2 linked regions of the Caenorhabditis elegans genome follow. The protein of the gene in region 2 interacts with the protein of the main gene of each other region in a pairwise test. Each region holds a gene or a part of one and is shown on either strand. Other genes may lie near its edges.

What was found.
Region 1: the proteins of F21D5.4 (region 2) and Y71H2B.4 interact in a two-hybrid assay, tested with the Caenorhabditis elegans proteins (one large-scale study listed by BioGRID).

Annotation. Positions count from the first base shown.
Region 1 is NC_003281.10:2,613,725-2,624,009, reverse strand, and holds Y71H2B.4 (Lipoprotein), read right to left. Parts: upstream 5,048-10,285; 5' UTR 5,021-5,047; coding exon 4,894-5,020; intron 4,832-4,893; coding exon 4,686-4,831; 3' UTR 4,635-4,685; downstream 1-4,634. Other genes in the region: Y71H2B.2 (Phosphorylated adapter RNA export protein), read right to left, coding at 747-839; Serine/threonine-protein phosphatase 4 regulatory subunit ppfr-4, read right to left, coding at 1,669-2,036, 3,401-3,824, 3,880-4,071; Y71H2B.5 (Aminotran_5 domain-containing protein), read right to left, coding at 5,291-5,359, 5,652-5,797, 5,851-5,927, 6,757-7,086, 7,501-7,601, 8,761-9,411, 10,241-10,285.
Region 2 is NC_003282.8:8,731,955-8,742,636, reverse strand, and holds F21D5.4 (HTH CENPB-type domain-containing protein), read right to left. Parts: upstream 4,551-10,682; 5' UTR 4,549-4,550; coding exon 4,363-4,548; intron 4,315-4,362; coding exon 4,129-4,314; intron 4,085-4,128; coding exon 3,677-4,084; 3' UTR 3,536-3,676; downstream 1-3,535. Other genes in the region: F21D5.7 (Signal recognition particle 54 kDa protein), read left to right, coding at 1-160, 208-281, 330-608, 684-848; F21D5.6 (Ribonuclease H2 subunit B wHTH domain-containing protein), read left to right, coding at 1,256-1,391, 1,438-1,529, 1,607-1,850, 1,898-2,020, 2,072-2,349; mrps-33 (Small ribosomal subunit protein mS33), read left to right, coding at 2,611-2,754, 2,806-3,042; F21D5.5 (uncharacterized protein), read left to right, coding at 3,263-3,311, 3,359-3,411, 3,461-3,533, 5,656-6,026, 6,072-6,249, 6,295-6,401, 6,445-6,837; F21D5.3 (Multicopper oxidase), read right to left, coding at 7,032-7,205, 7,259-7,343, 8,227-8,624, 8,673-8,780, 9,072-9,253, 9,299-9,497, 9,543-9,661, 9,708-9,830 and 3 more.

The sequences.
Region 1 (10,285 bases), on a different chromosome or scaffold from region 2:
TTTTTTCAAAGTAGAAATTTCTCTCAAAAAAATTAGAAAATAGACCGAAAATTAGATTTTTGATTATTTTTAACACTAAATCAAAATTATCAATTTATTAATTAAAACATTGAGAAAAAAATAATTAAAACCGGTTTTTTTTAATAGAATGTTTTTTTATTTTACTCTTCAGTTCCTGTTATTTGTATAACTCTTTTTTTCAGTTTTTTTTTGAGTGAAATTCAATAAAGCTAGTTTTTAAGCGCTTTTTTCGAATTTTTTCAAGTTTTTAATCGAAAAATCGCCAAAAAAATTGAGGAAAATTGCTAAAATTTTATCGGAAATACATTTTTTAAGAAAAATCTTTTTTTTTTTCAAAAAATTGAGTAAGAATGTAAAAAATGGATATTTTCTCAGAATTTTGAAGACAAAAGTAGCTTTTTGCCGATTTTTCGATTAAAAATTGAAAAAAAAAAGTTTTGATTTTTTCTGAAAAGAAACTGTTCTAAAAAATTTTTATTTTCTGAAAAATCCGAAAAAAGTGCTTAAAATCTTGTTTTATTGAATTTTTTACAAAAAAGTTTCAAAATTTCGTCAAAAATAGTTTTTTTTAAGAGAAAATCCGAATTGTGAAACTTTTTCTTGATTTTTTCGGTTTTTTTTTAATCAAAAATCGAAATTTGTTACGAAAATGGTTAGTTTTTGCCAATTTTTTCATTTTCAAGGTAGAAAATCCCCGATTTTCAGCCAAAAATCGTGCTCCTTACAGCTTTCAGATCCTCATCTTCATCTTTATTGATCGGAAGTCTCTCTTCATCGGAATCTCCTTCCGAATCGTGACGACGCTTACGGAATGCCATTCTGAAATTTTTTTTTTCTGAAAATCTGAAAAATATTTTGGAACTTATGTATAAAAAAGGTAAAAACCCTTTAAAAATGCAAAAAAAAATATAATAAAATATAATTATTTACAGTTTCACATTTATTCGAAACGAAAATAAGACGCCGTATAAAAATGTCGATTTACGCGGCTCGTGAACTCCCCGAAGTGAAGGGAACTTTTTTTTGGAAAAATCCGATTTTTTTTTTGAAAAAAACTCTTGCTAAAATCCGCAATTTTTATGGAAAATTTTGAGAATTTTCAGGAAATTCGGCGAATTTTTTTTTGAGACTTCTTAGTGAAAAATCCTCAATTTTTTGAATTTTCCCAAAAAAAAACCAGTGATTTTTGAGAATTTCAAAGAGAACACCGCGGTTTTATTGAATTTTTTCAGAATTTTCAAAAAAACGCAAATTTTCAAGTTTTTTGAAAGAAATATCTGAAATATCTCTATTTGAATAATTTATTTTTCAAAATTTTCGAAAAACCTGGAATTTTTTGAAATTTCCAGAAAACCGCAATTTTATTGATTTTTTTCTAGAAAAATATCGTAAAAAACGGATAATTGCAGATTTTCGCGGAAAAAATTTTCAATAATTTTATCAAAAAATTTTTTCCCATAAAAACTGCAATTTTTTTTTAATTCTCAAAATAATCCGCCGAAAATTGCCAATTCTGCAATTTTTCCATTCAAAAAATGCAGATTTTTCAAAATTTTTCGCCTTCTCCTCGTGAAGTACACAAGCCGCGTAAATCGACACATGCGGGAGCTAGGAATCCCGCGTAAAAGTAGAGATCTACAATATAATTTATCCTTTATTGTGCATATTTCCCCATCCACGTCGATGATCATCCTTATATTCATCCCAACGCATCGCCTTCGCTCTCGCCTCGTCATCATCAACCTCTTCTTCGGATTCTTGAGCTTCTGCCCCGGCTGGAGCCGACGATTGTGGAGCATTTTGTGGATTATGACCGAATTTCTGATGATACCATTCATCGACACTCATCGCTGGAATTCCTGGATATCCGAGCCCAAAGACCTGCTTCTGTTGAGCATCTCTGGTAATAATGAAGGGTTTAAGTGTTGGAACTGTCTTTGTTGCTGGTGGTGGAGCTGGATGACGATGTGGGTGAGATGCTCGTTCAGCCATCATTTTCAGCAGTGGAAGCTCGTCTGAAAATTGTTTTCCGTTTTTAAAAACGTCGCTTTCTGCTCTAAAAGGCTTAAAAGGCTTGGCCATGAAGAACTGAAAATTATTCAAAACTCGAAAAATTCAATTTTTCAGGGTCATTTTGAGGCTCTAAAAACTATTAAAAAACTTTTTTACTGACAGAAAATTAAAAAATTTGCAAAAAATAAAAATAATAATTAACTTATTATTTAAATTTTTTTTATTTTTTTGTTTAAAAAAATTTCGAATTTTCAATTATTCAAAAATTGGAAAAAAATTAGACAATTAACAGGAAAATTCATTTCTTTTATCAAATGTGGTTTATTTTGATTTGAAAAATCAGAAAATATATAGTTTTCTTCTACAAACAAAAAAATGACCAAAATACGACCAAATCGGAGATTTTAGCTAAATTTTGGACTTTTTTCTTGTTTGTAGAAAAAAAATGATATATTTTCTGAAGTTTTTCATCAAAATAAATTTTTTTTTCGATTTTTGAATAATTAATTTTTTTAATTCAAAAATCGAAAAAAAAATTTAGATTTATTTTGATGAAAAACTTTAGAAAATATATCTTTTTTTTCTACAAACAAGAAAAAAGTCCAAAATTTAGCGGAAATCTCCGATTTGGTCGTGATTTGATCATTTTTTTGTTTGTAGAAGAAAACTATATATTTTCTGATTTTTCAAATCAAAATAAACCAGATTTGATAAAAGAAATGAATTTTCCTGTTAATTGTCTAATTTTTTTCCAATTTTTGAATAATTGAAAATTCGAAATTTTTTTTACAACTTTCTAATTTTAAAGGAGTTTTGCAAAAATTTAAAAAATGAGTTAATTATTATTTTTCCTTTTTTTGCTTTTTTTTTAATTGTCTGTGGGTAAAAACGAATTTTATAGCTCTTAGAGCCTCAAAATGACCCTGAAAATTGAATTTTTCGATTTTTTAAAATAATAGTTTAAAAAAATTACAAAAAATCTTTAAAAAGCAGCGTCGCACAGAAAAATAGTTTTTTTCTCGAATAAAAGATCATAATTTGAACATATTTGCTGTTTTTCTGTGTTTTGGTTACCATTCGTCTGGAAACATCGTTAAATTAATGAAAAAATGTGCGAAATCCGGAAGTTTAGCTAAATTTAGCCATTTTTCTCCTTATTTTCCATGAAATTCGGCATTTCGAAGCCATTTTGAGCATTTTTAGAGCAACAAAACGATTTTTCAAGCAAAAATTCCAGTTTTCTTCGAGTTCTCAGAAAAAAAATATGATAACATTGCGTTTTTCTGCCAGAAAATCACATTAATTCCGATTTTTCGTGATTTTTAAAAATAATTTTTCCATGGAAACTAGGCGATATTCTACACACCATCAATCGCCTGCAACTCCTCGTAACATCTTTCACTCCAGAACAATAACTGAGTAATATAGAGCTCTCTGAGATTCTGCTCATCAATTGAAACGGCTTCCAGCTGCTTTTGGATCCTGAGCTCCGCCATTTTGAGCTCTTGCTTCTTCTTGTGACGCTCCAACTTCAATCTTCTGATCTCTTCAACTGCAAGCTTCGGCTTCTCCTTTAAATTTTGCTCTTCTGTATCCTCATCTTCCCATGGTAATCTGGTGGTGATCAGGCACAAATCTCGGAGGCGATCCAGAAAATTTCGCATATAAATTTTGGATTTTCTCAGTTCGTCGAGCTTCAGGCCGGGCTCAGTCATCAAATTTTGGTGGAGAATTCCCAAAAAACATGGGACAAGGAGATAGGGCAGCGAGTTTGTTGGAACGTCTTCAATCTGAAAAAAAATCATTTAATTTCAGAAATAATCTTTTTTTTTTTCGATAAAAAACCTGCTCATTCGACGAAAACAATCTCATCTGATTCACAAGCTTCGTGACCAACTGGAGATTATCAATTCCCGTTTTGATGCGAGGTTGGAGCTCCGGGGTGGAAAAAATCCCATCTTCAATATCGCCGATCACCTTTTTGCTCGGATCGTAAAGCGCTTGCAAGGAAATTTCTTCATCTGATAGCTCTGACATGCTCTGAAATTTAAATAATCAATTTTTAATTGAACAAACGAGGAAAAATTCAGGTTTCGCAGAGAAAACCCGTTTTCAGTGAGCGAAAATTTTTCAATAAACAAAACGAAAATAGAAAACACCCGATTTGACGACACTTGTGCAAACACCCTCACGCAATATTGCACAGATTTCTGAAAAAACAATTTTTTGTTTTTTTCTGGAACACATTTTACAACTTTTCAGACGGAATTTTCGGTTTTTTATCGAAATTTATGGAGAAAACGTTCAAAAAAACTCAAATTTGCTTGTTTTTAAAGGGTTTTTATGGGAAATCGTGTCATTTTTCCTTTAACAACGGAAAAACAATTCAAACACTGTCAAAATGACCAAAAATCATATTTAATAAAACGTTCAAAATGTTTCGGAAAACGCTTTATTTCGAGTCAAAAAGTGGAGAAACTCGTTTTTTTGAAAGTCTTCGATTATGGCCGCAGAGGCTCAAAAAGTGGCGCAAAATCACTTTTCCCGCGCGAAATTTGAAAAATTATCTCAAAAAAGAAGAAAATCGCCGAAAATTTAGTCTAAAAAATTGGCTTTATTGGAAAAAAATTAAAACATCAAAATCCAATTATTTAATAGACTTTATCGTTCTTGAGCAGCTTCTCCGGGAAGCATCTCTTGAGGCACTCAACAGTGAAGCAGCAGACATCATCCTTCGGGAATTCCTTGTACGAGCAGTTGTTCTTCATGGCACAGCACGCGGATTTGTAGGTGCTATCTGAAATTAATTATGAATCTTTTGAAACAAAACACAAAAAATCAATAAATAAAAAAACTTACAATCCTCAACAGTGCATGGGGATTGCTCCAAGCCGTAACGGCAGAACATATTCATATATTTATCGAAATTCTTGCATGACGAGGCGAAGGAAACGAGGAGAACGAGGAAAATCAAGGCGATCCGCATTCCGGCGGCAGACTGGCTCGGAGCTTTGGAGCTTTGGAGCTTGAGAGCTTTGAGCCGGCTTCCGATGGAACAGCTGACTAACTTTTTACTCACTTTTTCATCAATGTGTCAGTTGTCGGTTTTATTTTTGAAAGTTTTTATTCAACAAACCAAAACATCAAAAAAACATTCAAACGCTCAAGGACGAATTACGATTAACATTTAACAACAAGAAAAATATTTAAATATTTTTTTTAATAGGAAAATTTTAATTTTTATAGGAAAAATTCCCTATGACATTTCCTTCACAATATTATGCACCGCCTGGCTCCGCATCACGCTGGTGTGCGCCGAATCAACCTGGAAAACATTTATTAGATTTGAAAAAAAGAGCTCAAGGGGGCTCAGAGTCCCTCTTATATTTAAATGGAAGAGTTTTCAGCTTGGGAAGCTCGGCCGCGACGCAGCTGCATGCGGAGCGGCTCAGACGAACACATTGATTTTATCATTTTCTGGTAGAAAAAAAAACAGAATCAACGTTTTTGCCTGAGCCGCTCCGCGCGCTGCTGCGTCGCGGCCGAGCTTCCCAAAACTCTGCCATTTCAAGGGACATCCCGCGTTACTAGAGCTTGAAAACCCATAAATCACCCACCAAAAGCAGTGGTTTCAGAGCAGATCTCAGTGAATTAAACAAGTCGGGGAAGATGAGCTCCTGCTGAGCCAGGAGCTGCTTGACACGGTGACGTTCGGTGGCCTGGTTGAAGCATGCCGGGCAGTTTTCCGCGACAACTGGGAGTTCTGGAAAATTATTTATTTGGAGATAAATTCAAAAAAAAAATCGCTGAAAATACTTTTATCCTCGGCGAAATTTCGTAGAGCCTTCTCGCGAACCATCACCAGCGGTCGAATGACTCGAAGAGCTCCGTCTCTGGAAAAAAATTGAAATTCCTTTTGAAATCGACGTGAAAACGCGCTCCACGGACAATTGGTAACGCTCCGCCCCCAACAGTTGGGTCTCGTTAGGAAAATTTTCAATTTTCCATCGATTTTATTGATTTTTTCGTCGAACTTATGTTATTTTATAAATTTCGGCATAAAAATTTATTAAACTAATGAAAAACGTGACAAAAACATTTGAATTTAAAGTTTTGTCTACAAATACCTAACGAGACCCGCCTGTTGGGGGCGGAGCGTATTTTTCTGGAAAATATACGATTTTTCAGTGTTTTCCAGGAAAGATCAAGTTATTTTCCCAATTTTTTGTTTTTTTGAACACGGTAGTCATTACTGTAGTTTTCGCTGCGAGATATTCTGCACAACACATTTGACGCGTAAAATATCTCGCAGCGAAAACTACAGTAATCACTACTGTAAGTGTGGATTTACGAGCTGCCGCCAAGCCCCGTAAATCGACACCTACAGTAGTCATTACTGTAGTTTTCGCTGCGAGATATTTTGCGCGTCAAATGTGTTGTGCAATACGCATTCTCAGGATTTTGAGTTCAAAACATTTGGAAAATATTTCGATTTTATCGTAAATTTTCCATAAAAATCCGCCCCCAAGAGTCGGGTCTCGTTAGGTATTTGGTGGCAAATCAATCTTTTTTCATTTTCGGTGAATTTTTGAAAGGAAAATCTTAAACATCGACTGATTTTTGGTGTTTCTACCTGAAAAACAACGAAATTTAGATTAATTTCAGGATTTTCGTCTCAAAAAACTCGAACAAAAATCGATTTTTCTAATTTTCAGTACTAACTTCGTCGTATACTGAGCCTTCATCGTGCTCAAATTTCCATTCTGAAAAGCGGCAATGAAGAAGCTTTCAGCAAGATCATCCAAATGTTGTCCCATCGCCAGAACATTCCATCCGTGTAATTGTGCGGCGGCGGCGAGTCGGCCACGCTTCATTCGACTACAAAACGCGCAAATCGATCGGAGTCCGGGCGTTTTTCGGGCGGCTCCAATAATATCCTGCTCTTCGTAGAAATAATCAATATTGAGCCGTCGACAATACTCGATTAATGGGCGTGGATTGTATTCTGCAGATCCTGGATCAACGGTGATTGCACCGAGTTCGAAGGAGGTGCTGGAAATATGAATTTTTTTTCAAAAATTTCCGACGAAAAATGACAATTTTCGCCATATTCTGAGCACATGGGTCTCGCCACGAGCTACAGTAACTCGTGTCGATTTACGGGTGCGCTGAAATAAGGCTCCGCCCCCGAGCCAAGGGTCTCGTTAGGTTCTACATTGTTTTTGAAGATTTTTGAGCCGAAATTGATAATTTCATGTAAAAATCATAACGAAAAAGGCAAAAATTCTTGAAAAAATTTGAATATACACTATTGCCGCCAAATACCTAACGAGACCCAGCTGTTGGGGGCGGAGCGTTGTCAATTGTCCGTGGAGCGCGTTTTGACATCGATTTCATTCAAAAAAAAAAATTTCTGCGCTGCTCGTAAATCGACACAAGTCGTGGCGAGACCCAGATATTTCATACCTTCTAGCCTTATTACAGCGTTGTTGATAGTGCCGTAAAATGTGAAGAAGCGATAGAGAATCCTTGCCGCCGGAGAGACACACAAGAACTTTGTCGCCGTCCTGGAAATTATTCGAAACTTTAGTTCGGCAAATTCGGCAAATTGCCAGTTGGCCGATTTGCCGGAAAATTTCAATTCTGGGAATTTGCCTATTTGCTAAAAATTTCCAATTCCGGCAATTAGCCGATTTACCTTCACTTTCGGCAAATGCCACTTTTCCGGCAAATTGGGCAAATTGCCGGTTAGACGATTTTCCGGAAATATTCAATTCCAGCAAATTCGGCGATCTGCCGGAAATTATAACATTCGACAACTGCCGCTTTCATGGCAAATTCGGAAAATTGCCGAAAATTTTCAATTCCGGCAAATTCGTCAAATTGCAGGTTGGACGATTCGCCGGAAATATTCAACTCCGACAATTTGCCGATTTGCCGGAAAATTTCAATTCCGGCAAAATCGGCAAATTGTCAGTTGAACGATTAGCTTGAAATTTTCAACTCTGGCAAGTTGCCGATTTGCCGGCAATTTTTACTTTCGGCAATTTGCCGCTTTTCCGGCAAATTCGGTAAATTGCCGGAAATTTTAAATTCCGGCGAAATTCCCATTTGCCGGCAATTTTTCAATTTTCGCTTTTCCGGCAAAATCGGCAAATTGCAGGTTACCCGATTTGCCGGAAATTTTCAATTCCGGCAAATTCGGCAGATTGCCAGTAGAACGGTTAGCTTGAAATTTTCAACTCTGGCAAGTTGCCAATTTGCCGGAAATTTTTATTTTTGGCATGGCCGCTTTTCCGGCAAAATCGGCAAGTTGCAGGTTAGACGATTTGCCGGTAATTTTCCATTCCGGTAATTGCCACTTTTCTGACAAATTCGGCAAATTGCCGCAAATTTTAACTTTCGGCAAAATTGACAAAGGTTGAACAATTTGCCGGAAATTTTAAATTCCGGCAACTTCGGCGAATTGCCGGTTGGGCGATTTGCCGGAAATTTTCAATAAAAATTGCTTTCGGCAAAAACAAATTCGGTAAATTACCGGAAACTGCCGGTGGCCAAATTGTCGGAAATTTTTGATTCCGGCAACTTGCTGATTTGCTAAAAAATTCCAATTCCGGCAAAATCGGCAAGTTGCCGGTTGGACGATTTGACGTATATTTTCAATTCCGGCAAATTGCCACTTTTCCGGCAAATTGGAAATTTTTATTTTTGGCAAATTCGACTAACCCTAATCATCTTGAGCTGATGAATAATGTCTGTAACTTTCTTGTACATTTCCAACGACGGAATATGCCATTCTTGAAGCCGTTCGTCTTCTTTACTCAAATTCTCCACACGTCTCACGATGACCCGCTTATTCCAGTCTTCCATCTGCTTCACCTCCTCAGCTTCAGCAGCATCGCCCACGTCTTCTGAAGCTTTCAGCTTATCTGATTTCAGATAACAAATCACATCGTCACAAATCACTTCACACTCTTCTTGCGGAGCTTCTTGATGCTGCTCGGATGGAATTTCTTGATGTGAAGCTTCTTCTGTATACTTTCTCGGTTTAATCACACACATCGGAAATGAAACCGCCCGTCCAGCTCGAGCTTCAGCCACCTCAATCGGAAGAACAAACCACCGAAGTTCGTGATATTCCGAATTAATCGCCAGTCTTCCATCTGGAATTTTCGAGATATTCAGAGCATCCGACGACTCTTGAGCCAACACTTTTGCCGCTTCCAGGCATTTCTTCATATCAGGCACTTCTGGAACAGCCAAAGGCTTAGTTTTCAGGCCGGTTGGGGTGAATTGAACATGTCCGAGCCATCGTCTTCCATGAAATACTCGTTGATTTTGATGATGCCATTCACCGGTCTCACAGTTTACTTGGTACTGAAATTGGAGAGATTATGATCTACTATCACAAAATTTTCATTCTCAAAAATGTAAAGAATTTTTTTTGAGAAAATTCGAAAAATTGAATTTATGGAAATTGTCGATTTTTCCAAAAATTCCCAAAAAATTGCGGATTTTTTTGGGAAAATTCTCAAAAAATTGAGAATTTTAAATTTTTTTCTATGTACGAAAAAATTTTGAAAATTCGCCAAAAATTGCTTTGTTCTAAAATTCTCCAAATTTTCGGAATTTTTGAAGGTTTTGTACAAATTTTACTATAACTTCTCTATAATTGTCTGAAAATTGATAGAATTTATTGGAATAAATGGAAAAATGAACGGAAATGTTTAATTTTCATGAAAATTTGAGCATTTTCGAAGAAATTCAACCAAATTTCCGAGAATTCCAGAAATTTCAGTGAAAATTCAGAAATTCTACTGTCTCAATTTTTTTTTTTGAGAATTTTCAGAAAAATCTTCAATTTTTGAATTTTTCTGAAAAAAAAAGTGTATTTTTTAAAAATAATTTCCGGAAAAATTGGTTGTTTTTTGAATTTTGAAAAAAAAAATTTTCGGAAAAAATCGGTAATTTTTCTCGTTTCACGTGGTGCCAGAGTATCTCATTTTGGCTTGATCTACGTAGATCTACAAAAAATGCGGGAGAAGAGACGCAGAGTTCGCATGGCTGACATCACATTTTTTGGACAAAAAATTCCCGCATTTTTTGTAGATCAAACCGTGATGGGACAGCCTAGCACCACGTGGCTTTAAAAAATACTTCTCCTCGTGGAGTACACAATTTGCGTAAATCGACACAAGGCTCCTACCAAGTGCAAAAAGTCGGCCGCATGTTTTGCAATAAATCGAATAGC
Region 2 (10,682 bases):
TTCATCGGAACAGGAGAACATATTGATGACTTTGAGATTTTCAAGCCAAAATCATTTGTTCAAAAGCTTCTAGGAATGGGAGATATTGCTGGCCTTGTTGATATGGTCAATGATATTGGAATTCAGGATAATAAAGAATTGGTGGGAAGACTGAAACAAGGTAAATTTGATTTCAAAAATTTCAAAAACTGAAAAGAACATTTCCAGGACAATTCACTCTTCGCGACATGTATGAGCAATTCCAAAACATTATGAAAATGGGACCTTTCAGTCAAATTATGGTTCGTTTCAATGTTTTATAACGATACCTGAATACTTATTTATTTCAGGGTATGATTCCTGGTTTTGGATCAGAATTTATGACAAAGGGAAACGAGCAAGAATCCGTCAACAGGCTGAAGAGAATGATGACTGTGATGGATTCTATGAGTGATAAGGAATTGGATCATCCAAAAGCATCTGAGCTCTTTACAAAAGAACCAAATAGAGTTGCCAGAGTTGCCAGAGGATCGGGATCTCATCAACAAGAAGTTCGAGATCTTCTCGCTCAGTACAAGAAATTCTCTGATGTTGTTAAGAAGATTGGATCAATTAAAGGACTCTTCAATGTAAAGTTTTGTTCCTATTCGACAAATTGAAATTTTGTAATTTCAATAATTATTTCTAATGAATTCATTTTGCAGGGCAAAAACGGTGATATAAACCCAAAAAATATGAATCCAGCGAAAATGGCTCAATTGAATCAACAAATGGCAAAAATGATGGATCCACGTGTGTTGCAGCAGATGGGTGGTATGGGAGGCCTTCAAAATATGATGCAGCAGATGGCAAGAGCTGGAAAAATGTGAAGAAATGGATGCAATTATTTTCTGTAGTTTTTGAAATGCCTGTTCCCAGTTCCCACAATTCATTCTGACTAAAACGTTTTTTAATAATATCAATATGATTTCTCGATTTCCCTTTCATCAGAATGTTTCCCAAGTTCATTTTTTGTCTAGCAGATTCTGTGATTCTAATTAGAAACAATTTAGTTAAAGAATAATTTATTTATTTCTTTTTTCCCTTTTGAATTTTCCTGAATTAAACTCGTTTTTTCCCTTGGCTCATCGGTGTAAATATTCACATTTAAAAATGACTGAAAAACATATGCCTGTTTATTTTCTATCTCATTGTTCTCGTTTTTTGACGAATTTCGAACTATTTTCCATAAGTTTAGATCAATTACAAATTGTAATAAATCAGTTTCAGAACAAGAATGCCACCAAAAACTAGAAAAACAAAAAAAGAAGACGTCGAGGAAGAGGCTGTTGAAGAGATTTTAGAAGAAACTAAACCTGCAAAATTACCAGAATCCGATGAGAGTTATTCGAGAAAAGTTGTCATTTCCAAAGGTGATTTCCTTTATTTAATTTCAAAAATGAATGTTTTTGTTTTCAGAGGGCAATTTGCCAAATAGCCGAATCATCAAACTGCGGCACCCGAAGGAAGGACTAGCGCTGTTCAGAATCTCCGAAACGTGCTTTGATGAGGTAAAAATATTGGTCAAGCTTTCACAAAAAACCTGAATAAACTTTTAAATGAGAATAAACTTACAAAATTTATGCAGATTTTCGCTGTCAACGACGGTCATCGATCATTCTTCTACGGTGAGAGTGTAATCGAAAACGGAACAATTCACATATTCACTCCATACAATCTCGTCTTCATTTGTCTCCCATATCTACAAAAGACCGCAGGAAAATTTGTGGAAATTGGCGAAATATTGGTAGATGATCAAGTTGACGGGATCAAAGAATTGGCTGAAAATGAAAGAATTCTGAAAGCATTGGAAGCTGTTTCAGATGTCAAAGGTTTGGAAATATCAGTTCGTGGAGATGGAAAAATAAAAGATTTCCAGATGTTCTCGATGTCAAACTATATCGTTTGAACGATCAAAAAATGTTGGATTGGATGAGAAGGAAGTTTGATTCTCTCAAAAAACTTCTAGAAAGTGATGCCCACAAGTCTTTGTTGTCATGTCGTAAGTTTCTCGTTTTGCTTCTTAATTTTACCAAAATGAAATAAATTTCAGCGGAAGCATTCGATCGTTATGTTTTCACATTCCTGTCTGAATATCTTTCTTCTGATCTTGCATTGATTGTTAAAGATCATTTGAATATTCAAGATGCTACTGTCTCCGAGAACATCGATATGAGTATGAAACGAAAAGCTGTGGATGACGATGAGCTTGAAGATAAGAAGCAACCTGTCGCAAAGAAACCAAAAGAATCAGTACAATCAAAGAAACTTCAAGCCGCCTCGAAGGGAACCAAATCAATCAGCTCATTTTTTGGAAAAAAATCTGCTTGAATCTCTATTTTCTTTATTCAACAATTTCGCATATAATTTCATAACATTGACCTCAATTTATCTATGATTCCGATGCTATTACTTTGCTCAATCTCAATTTTGCATTTCACACATTTTTTAATTCGTGTACTAAATAACTGAAACTTTGAAACGTTTTCGATTGAGAATACTCCTTCCGAAATGGGTCCTTTGCCTATTTATATCTATATTTAACAGTTTCATCCGATTTTAACGGATCAACAATAAAAAAAATATTTTAAGATGGCGGCACGTCTGGCTGCATCACGAATTGTGCACGCCGGCCGCGGAATCTCTCAACCTACACCATTCGGAAAACGAATGGATCGATTGTCAAATCGAGTATGGGGAGAGGTTGTCATGCCAACTGACACTAAAAGTTTAAAGGTTTTTAGATGATTTTTATAAAGAAAAGTTTCTGAAAATTTTCATTTACAGGTTGTCCGAGTAATGTCTGCAGAACCATATGAAACCAAAGAACAATTATCACCGAAATACTATCCAAATCTTCCGATGTTTCATTATTTGACCAAAATGCTACGATTCCATGGACTATTTTTTGATGATCACGTAGTTTTCAGAGATGTTCAAGATAATTTGAAAATTATTCGCGGAAAAGTTGTTCGGCCACCAATCGGTCAAGGAAAGCGTGCACAATTGAGAGGAAAGAAGTAGTGTGGATGTTCTCGAAGTTTAAATCTAGATTAGAAGTTTTGTTGATTTTTTTTTTACGTTTGTTTTAATTGAAAATAAATTCTTTTTGAGGTTTTGCTACATTTTTCCAATAAAATTAAAGTTTTTAACACAGAAAATATCGATTATTGATTTTCTTTTTAATTGCTCCACAAATAATTGGCAGACGTTGCTTTTTTCAGCAGTTTTCAGACTTAGAATTATGAAAAGAGCAATGGATGGAGCAAAAAACGAAGCGAAAAAATCTAAAGGTTTCGATTTTGCAATTTATCTGAAAAAGTTCATCTCCGGTTTACAGATACTGATTTATTTGGACGACCACTGAAAAAGACTGGATCCTGGGAATCAAAGGTTTCAAAAATAAACTTCATTAAAAAAAACTAAAGTCTGATTTTTCCAGGACAACGGCGATTTGATGATTTTCACCCATTCAGAATGTGAAGGAAAAGAGAAAATTGCCGCATTCGATATGGGTAAGAATTGGTCACATTATTTTATTGGCGAGATTTAACTTTCCATGAGTATTCCAAATTTTGATTATGAATATCAGATATGAATTGTTTCAATGGAAAATAACATGCTATAGTTTTAGAAAAATATGAACGATAACAAAAAATTAATAAGATTTCGGAGAACGGTTCACAGATGTTTCGGTTTCTTCTACACTGTCTTCCTTCCCATTAGAATCCTTAATAAGCATCTCCAATTGTTGAAAAATGTTTATTTCTGGCAATTTCGATGATTCATTTGGTTTCTGTTTTACTTCACTCTCTGTGGTTGTACTATTGTTTCCCTCGACTTTTAAACTAGTTTCTCCATTTTCTGCATTAAAATCTTCTAGGAATCCTGAAACATTTCCTTCTGATATATTCTTCCATTCATCACTGTTAATTAGTTCAAAAAGTGATTCTTCAAGCGTTTTGTCTGTTGTGCCATCACTAGTTGATGGCGTTTTTGGGCTTGAACTTCTTGCTTTTATCAATCCGTGTCGAATCATAAATCTTTGAAGCCAACCATTACTTGCCTAGAAAATATTTTATTCGAAATTCGAGTTTAAATGTTTCAAACCTTAAAGTCTGCATTTCCATTAATTTTCTTCGCATATTCCTTGATATCTTTTCCCGAAATTTTCCCGTTTTTCGAAGCAATCCAATCTTCAACTTTCTCATCTAATTCCACATTCTTTAGCGGTCTTCCTGCTCCACCGAGCCTCTTTGCTCCTTGTTTTCCTTCTGATTCGAATGCTAATTCGTGCTGAAATTCCAGAAATTTGTTGATAGAACTACTGTAGTTCAGAAATACCTTCAAATGTCTCCATCGTTGAATACAAGCTCTTGCAACTCCATATTTCTTCTGAGCTTGACAATTATTTGTTTGTTCAGCAAATCGAATAACTTCATTTTTGAATTCGAGTGTAAAATTGGCACGCTTCTTTTTTGGTGGTGGCTCGGATGAAGTTTCAAGTATTTTAGGAGAGATTTCAGTCATTTCTGAAGTTTAAAGCTGAGAATTCTACATTTCGGTTAGAATAGTATTACTCAGATTCGAAATTTTGCGATTTCCTACGCAAAAATGCGATACTAGGTCTTGGCACGACCGAATATCCTTTAAAAAGTACAGTAATCTCCCTGCCTCATTGGTTTGATTTTCCGATTTTCACATTTTTCCCAAAAAAAAATTGTTTTTTGTGAGACAAATCAAAAAATACTAAAATTTTATGCAAAATTCAGGAAAAAAGTCGAAGATGAATAAGTCAGAACAGTGACTCGTAGAGGTTACTGTACTTTTTAAAGGTGCACTTTTTTTCATATAAACTTATTCCGCAGTGTCAAGACCGAGTATCGTATTTTTGCGTTGAAAATCACAAAATTTCGCATCTGTGTAATATTTACATTTGCATCTTTAGAAAAGATAAAATAAATAAATAGAAAAAAATCAATGAATTCTAACGTCAAGAAGAAGGGAGTGCCGTTTTAATAGAGGGTGTCCACACTTCAAGAGACAACAGACAAACATTCAGAGTGTGTATGAAGATGAAGAGACACAGACAAACATACTATGCCTGTCTAATGGAGGGAGGCTGTGACCTACAATTAGAGAACACAGACGACTAGAAATACTGAGTGGTGTATGGATATATTTTTTGATTTTCTTGTTGTTGATGAGTGGGAAAACTCACGTCTTCTATCAAAAGAAAACACATATTTTTGGCGCAGAATTGATAATTTTCACGAAATATGAAATTAGTATCAAGAAACTTGGCCTTACTGAGACTATTCAAGCAGTGAGCCTCTGGCTCGGTACATTTATCCCTTGAACCTAAAATTGTGATGTAATTTCCATTTGATTTTCTTCAAATTAAGTAGTTTGCACAAATTAATAAAAATGTAATACTAATCAATTTTTTTTTTGGTAAATTGCCAAATTTTTGTGGAAATCCCTAAAATTACTGTAGATTCGAACCCCTACAACTATTTTTTGTCGATCTCCACAACAATAATAGATGAAAACCTGAAAAAGGTTAAATTTATGAGTTGTTCTAAACTTTCTAGTGTATGAAAAAAATATTTTTGTTTAAAAAAATCGTATTTTCAGACGGAACTCTGATCAAAACAAAGTCTGGAAAAGTGTTTCCAACAAATTGTCAAGATTGGCAACTTCTATATGACTCAATTCCATCAGATTTCAAAAAATTGCATTCCGACGGATTCAAAATTGTCATTTTCACAAATCAAAAAGGCATCCACGCTGGAAAAGTTGATCGAAATGAATTTAGGAAGAAAATTGAAGCAATTGTTGGAAAACTTGGAATACCTGTTCAAGCATTTGTTTCAGTTGCTGGGGGACACTATAGAAAACCATGTGTTGGTATGTGGAATGAGCTGAAATTGAGAAATGATGAAGTGGAAATTAATGAAAAAGAAAGCATTTTTGTTGGAGATGCTGCTGGAAGAATCAAGACTACAGTACGTGTGAATAGATTCAACTTTCATTTAATTCTAATTTTATAGAGTCGTCCTAAAAAAGATCACTCATACGCAGATCGTTTCTTTGCTGCAAATGTCGGTGTTAAATTTCAAACTCCAGAAGAATTTTTCGGAAAATCGAAAGTTGATGAGCCCTGGGGACCACCAAACTTTGATCCAAAAAATCTATTTTCAGAGGAAATTACTGAACTTGAACCTCATGGTGAAATAAAATTATGAGAAAACATAAATATAATTATATTTTCAGATGCTCAACTTAAATCATCCGAAAAAGAAATTATTCTAATGGTTGGATTTCCCGGTTCAGGAAAGTCGACTTTTGCTAAAATGCTCGGTCATCAACATGATTATAAAGTAAGTTTTGGAGCATTTTTCAACTCAAAAATTTTTGATTCATATTGTGAATCGTGACACGATCGGAACATGGCAAAAGTGTGTAGCAGCCACTCGTTCATATCTTGCTGATGGAAAATCTGTAGTTATTGATAACACATCACCGGATCTAGAATCACGAAAGCGATATATTGACGTGGCAAAAGAGCTCGGAGTGCCCATTCGATGTTTCGAGATGAATTGTAGTATGGAACACGCACAGCACAATATTCGATTCCGAGTGTTAACAGATGATAATGCAGCTGAAATCTCGTCAATGGTATTAAGAATTCATAAAGGAAAATATGTTGAACCAACACTGTCCGAGGGATTTTCACAGATTGTGAAAGTTAATTTCCGCCCGAAATTCGAAGTGGAAGAACACGAAAAACTTTACAAGATGTATTTGATCGAGTGATTCCAATTTGAAATTAATTAAATGTTAAATATATACTTACACATTCCAAAAATCTGAGTTTTAATTTTGTTGTTCAACTTGTGCAATAAATCTCATTCACTTTCCACTTTTTTCAGGCACACGTTCATTTATTAATATCAATATGACATCAAGCTGAGTAAAGTTCAAATTCTAATCATCAAAATTATCAATTATCAGTGAAATATTCTATCAATAATAAGAACTAGGCACACAGCAATGAAAGTGTATGGGATATTCGAAGATTTTTGAGTTGGAAGCCTTAATTCTGGTAATTTATCAACTTTGAAGACACCACAATCATGCGGGAAATTGTCAGGTGGCATGTAGATTTGATTTTGATCACCAACCTAAAATAGAACAGTTAGAAATTGCACTGATACTGATATTAAGTGTATTTTACCTTATATGCATATCCAGTTCCACCCATTAAATGAAGTTCCAAGTGACAATGAGCAAACCACCATCCTGGATTTACAGCACGGAATCTGAAATTATTAATTTGTTTCTTGAATGAGTATTAAAAATATAAGAGAGTGTTAATTCTTATCCTTAAACTTTAATAGTAAAAATTTTGAGATCGTTTCGCAAAAAATACGGTGGATGGTTTCATCACGAAAGAAAAATGTTCAACTCGAGATTGCACAAAACTAGGTGCGCCTTTAAGAACTACAGTATACACTTTTCCTCGATTTTACATTGTTTTTCACACTCAAAAATATGTCGAGACAAACAGATAGTTTGCCGGGTGAGTGAGAGAAAAAAGTGGAAATGGGTATAAAAATGTTTCAAAAAATTGGTTACTGTAGTTCTCAAAAGATTGTGTTCCTAACAATGGGTTCTCACGTGCTCCATGAATTAAAAAATGTTTTAAAAAAACAACGATTCGAAAACTGTTGTGGACGGAACGTAAACCTGAACTTTATACAGACGTGGCCTTTGGGTCATCATGAACTTATCGCGTAAGCGACCTCTCTTTATAATTCATTACTTCTTACACTTCTTGTAATAAACTACTTCTCTCCTTGTCTTTCGCTCAATACACAACAGTGGCGATCAGGATGAGATGGGGAGGGGGACAAGTTGTGCGAGGATCAGCCCCAAACACTGATCATGCCTCCACTCGCCGCAGAGGTCGATATACCGCCTCTGGTCGTGATGCCCCTAGCCCAGGCATTTCTGGCTTTTTGTCATATAAGAGGGGAGATGTTGTGGACGGAACGTAAACCTGAACTTTATACAGACGTGACCTTTGGGTCATCATGAACTTATCGCGTAAGCGACCTCTCTTTATAATTCATTACTTCTTACACTTCTTGTAATAAACTACTTCTCTCCTTGTCTTTCGCTCAATACACAACAAAAACCTACCGAATAGTGATATATCCTCCAACTGGCAATGTAATAGTATCTCTTTTCGTTGGATTCTTAGTATTCATTGCTTCTAATGCTCCACCTAACCAATCTTTATTTCTCCATTTCTTTCCATTACAACTAACATCTCGTCCAGGACAATCAATATCTTGATTCATTTGATCAATAAATCCAGATCCATTATACGATGGCCATCCAACTTTCATCACATAAAAATGATGTCCATGAAGATGGAATGGATGAGCATAACCAGTTCCCATTGCACCACCAAGTCCCATATTATAAAGGGTTATTTGCACAATATTATTTAATTTATGCTCCAAATGATAGAAACAACGACATGTTGTATCGAGATCTGACATTGAGTTGTTGGCACAAGCAGTTTGACTGCACGACTGTAAATAATATAAAATGGATATTTTCTCCCGTCGACCCTAACTCACCGTTGAAATAGTTTCCATGTCACCATCATGATAATATGGAATACCCCATGGGAATTGGAATAAGAATTGATCCATTTGAGAGTCATGGTGCATGTTGATAAAATGCTCCTGCAAAAAGTGGGCTCGTGATTATTAAAACAAAAGATGGCCTAGAAAAGTCAGATAGGCAGGCATGTAGGCATTAAGAAACAGATAGGAAAGAGACATCTCGTGGTTGCCTTCCCCCATTGCATTCATTATATACTTACCTTCCTGAAAATGCGCCTGCTTATCAAAAACAGGTGTTTAACATTTTTCAAGTGTAATAAACTTTTATGATTCTTTTCTTCCAATGATTTTGGAAAACCAGACGTCTGCTTTGCCACTCCAACCCTATTTCTATAATAAACAAAATCCCACCTCGAATCCTCCATTAAATTGTGTTGCTTGAAGAATCTCGGCCTCGATTTTTTCTGGATTTGGATTTTCCAACTTATCATATGAGATACATGTGAAGTTTGGTTGAGCCATCCATTCTTGGAATGGACAGTTCAAAACGGTACATTTCTTGTTTTGTGTACATTCTGGGTGCATCAGGTTGGCTGAAAGGAATTGTTGTTTTTAAATTACTGTTTTTCTCTACTTACGTGTAGTCTTATCCTCGGGGAGTCCATCAGTTTCATATTCAATATAACCAAATCCATAAACAATTGGAATCTCTTTCCAATCAAAGAAATATTTTTGAACTGTCTCTACTTGGATACGGTAGCTTTTTTTGGTGGGTGTTGCCAATCCTTTAATCAAAATGTCATATCTTTCTCCTGGGAAAACGATGAGACGATCAACCTGAAATGAGAGAATAGATTATGCTTCAAATGAATGGGTTCCTACCTTCATCGGAACAACCTCATCACCATCAGCTGCAACTACAGTCATTGGATGCCCTTCAACATATAGCATAAGCTCTTGAGCAACTCCTCCGTTTACAATACGGAAAAGAATATCCTCGTCTGACATTTCAAATTATTTGTTAGTTAAATAGACTCATAGACTTACTTGGCTTAATTTGGAATCTTTCAAGTGGAAGATTGAATGGTTGAGATTTGATAATGTCATGATCATACCATCCCTTGTCGTTCAAAAGAATTGCAGAAATTGGTACAGCTCCTCCGACATTTCCTAAATATATAATTACACAAATGTAAAACTTCCATGAGAAGAATGCACATATCCGACTATTATCTCACAACTTGTGGTTGTATTTGAACCGTGTAGATTTCAATTATATATTTTATACAAAAGTGGCAATAACTCAGTCTGCACCTATCATAATTTTAGAAGTTGACAAAAAACGAATCAACTTTTAGGCATTAAACAAAGTGTCTTAGAAAACTTGGCAATATACCAAAACGTTGACTGGCTTTTCTTCATCGTAAGTTTTTTTTGGAATTTTCAAATAACTCCGGATAGTTATGCACGAGTCAGGTTAAATTTCCAAAGAATTATTAAGTTTCAGAACTTTTCAGTTTGAAGCCACTGACCTCCATCGGAAGTTCTAGTTGGCTCCCAACATTTTGTAAAGTCATCATATCCATACATCCATTTCATAGTTTTATCTTCCAATTGCATCCAAGCTTCTTCTCCAACTTTTGTCGCCCAATCCTGAAAATCATGGTTGTGGGAGTTTGGAGAAAAACATGTGGCTACCTGCAACAAAAAGAAGTATTCACGGCTTGGAACAATTCGCTTCCGATCATCCAATGTTGGAACTGATGTATCATTCTGATCAACAACAATGAATCCTGAACAATCAAAATGTGACAATAGGGTGCGAAACTATTAAAAAAATTACTTTCAAAAGTAAACATTGATAAAAAATAAAGACCTGATCATTGATTCTCTCAAATTATTGTACTCTAATCCTATACTTAACTTGAACTAACCTCCAGCAATTCCATCTCCTCTATCAGTTTGCATATGTCCGTGATACCAATGAGTTCCCTTGTTATCAGCAATAAATCTATACTCAAA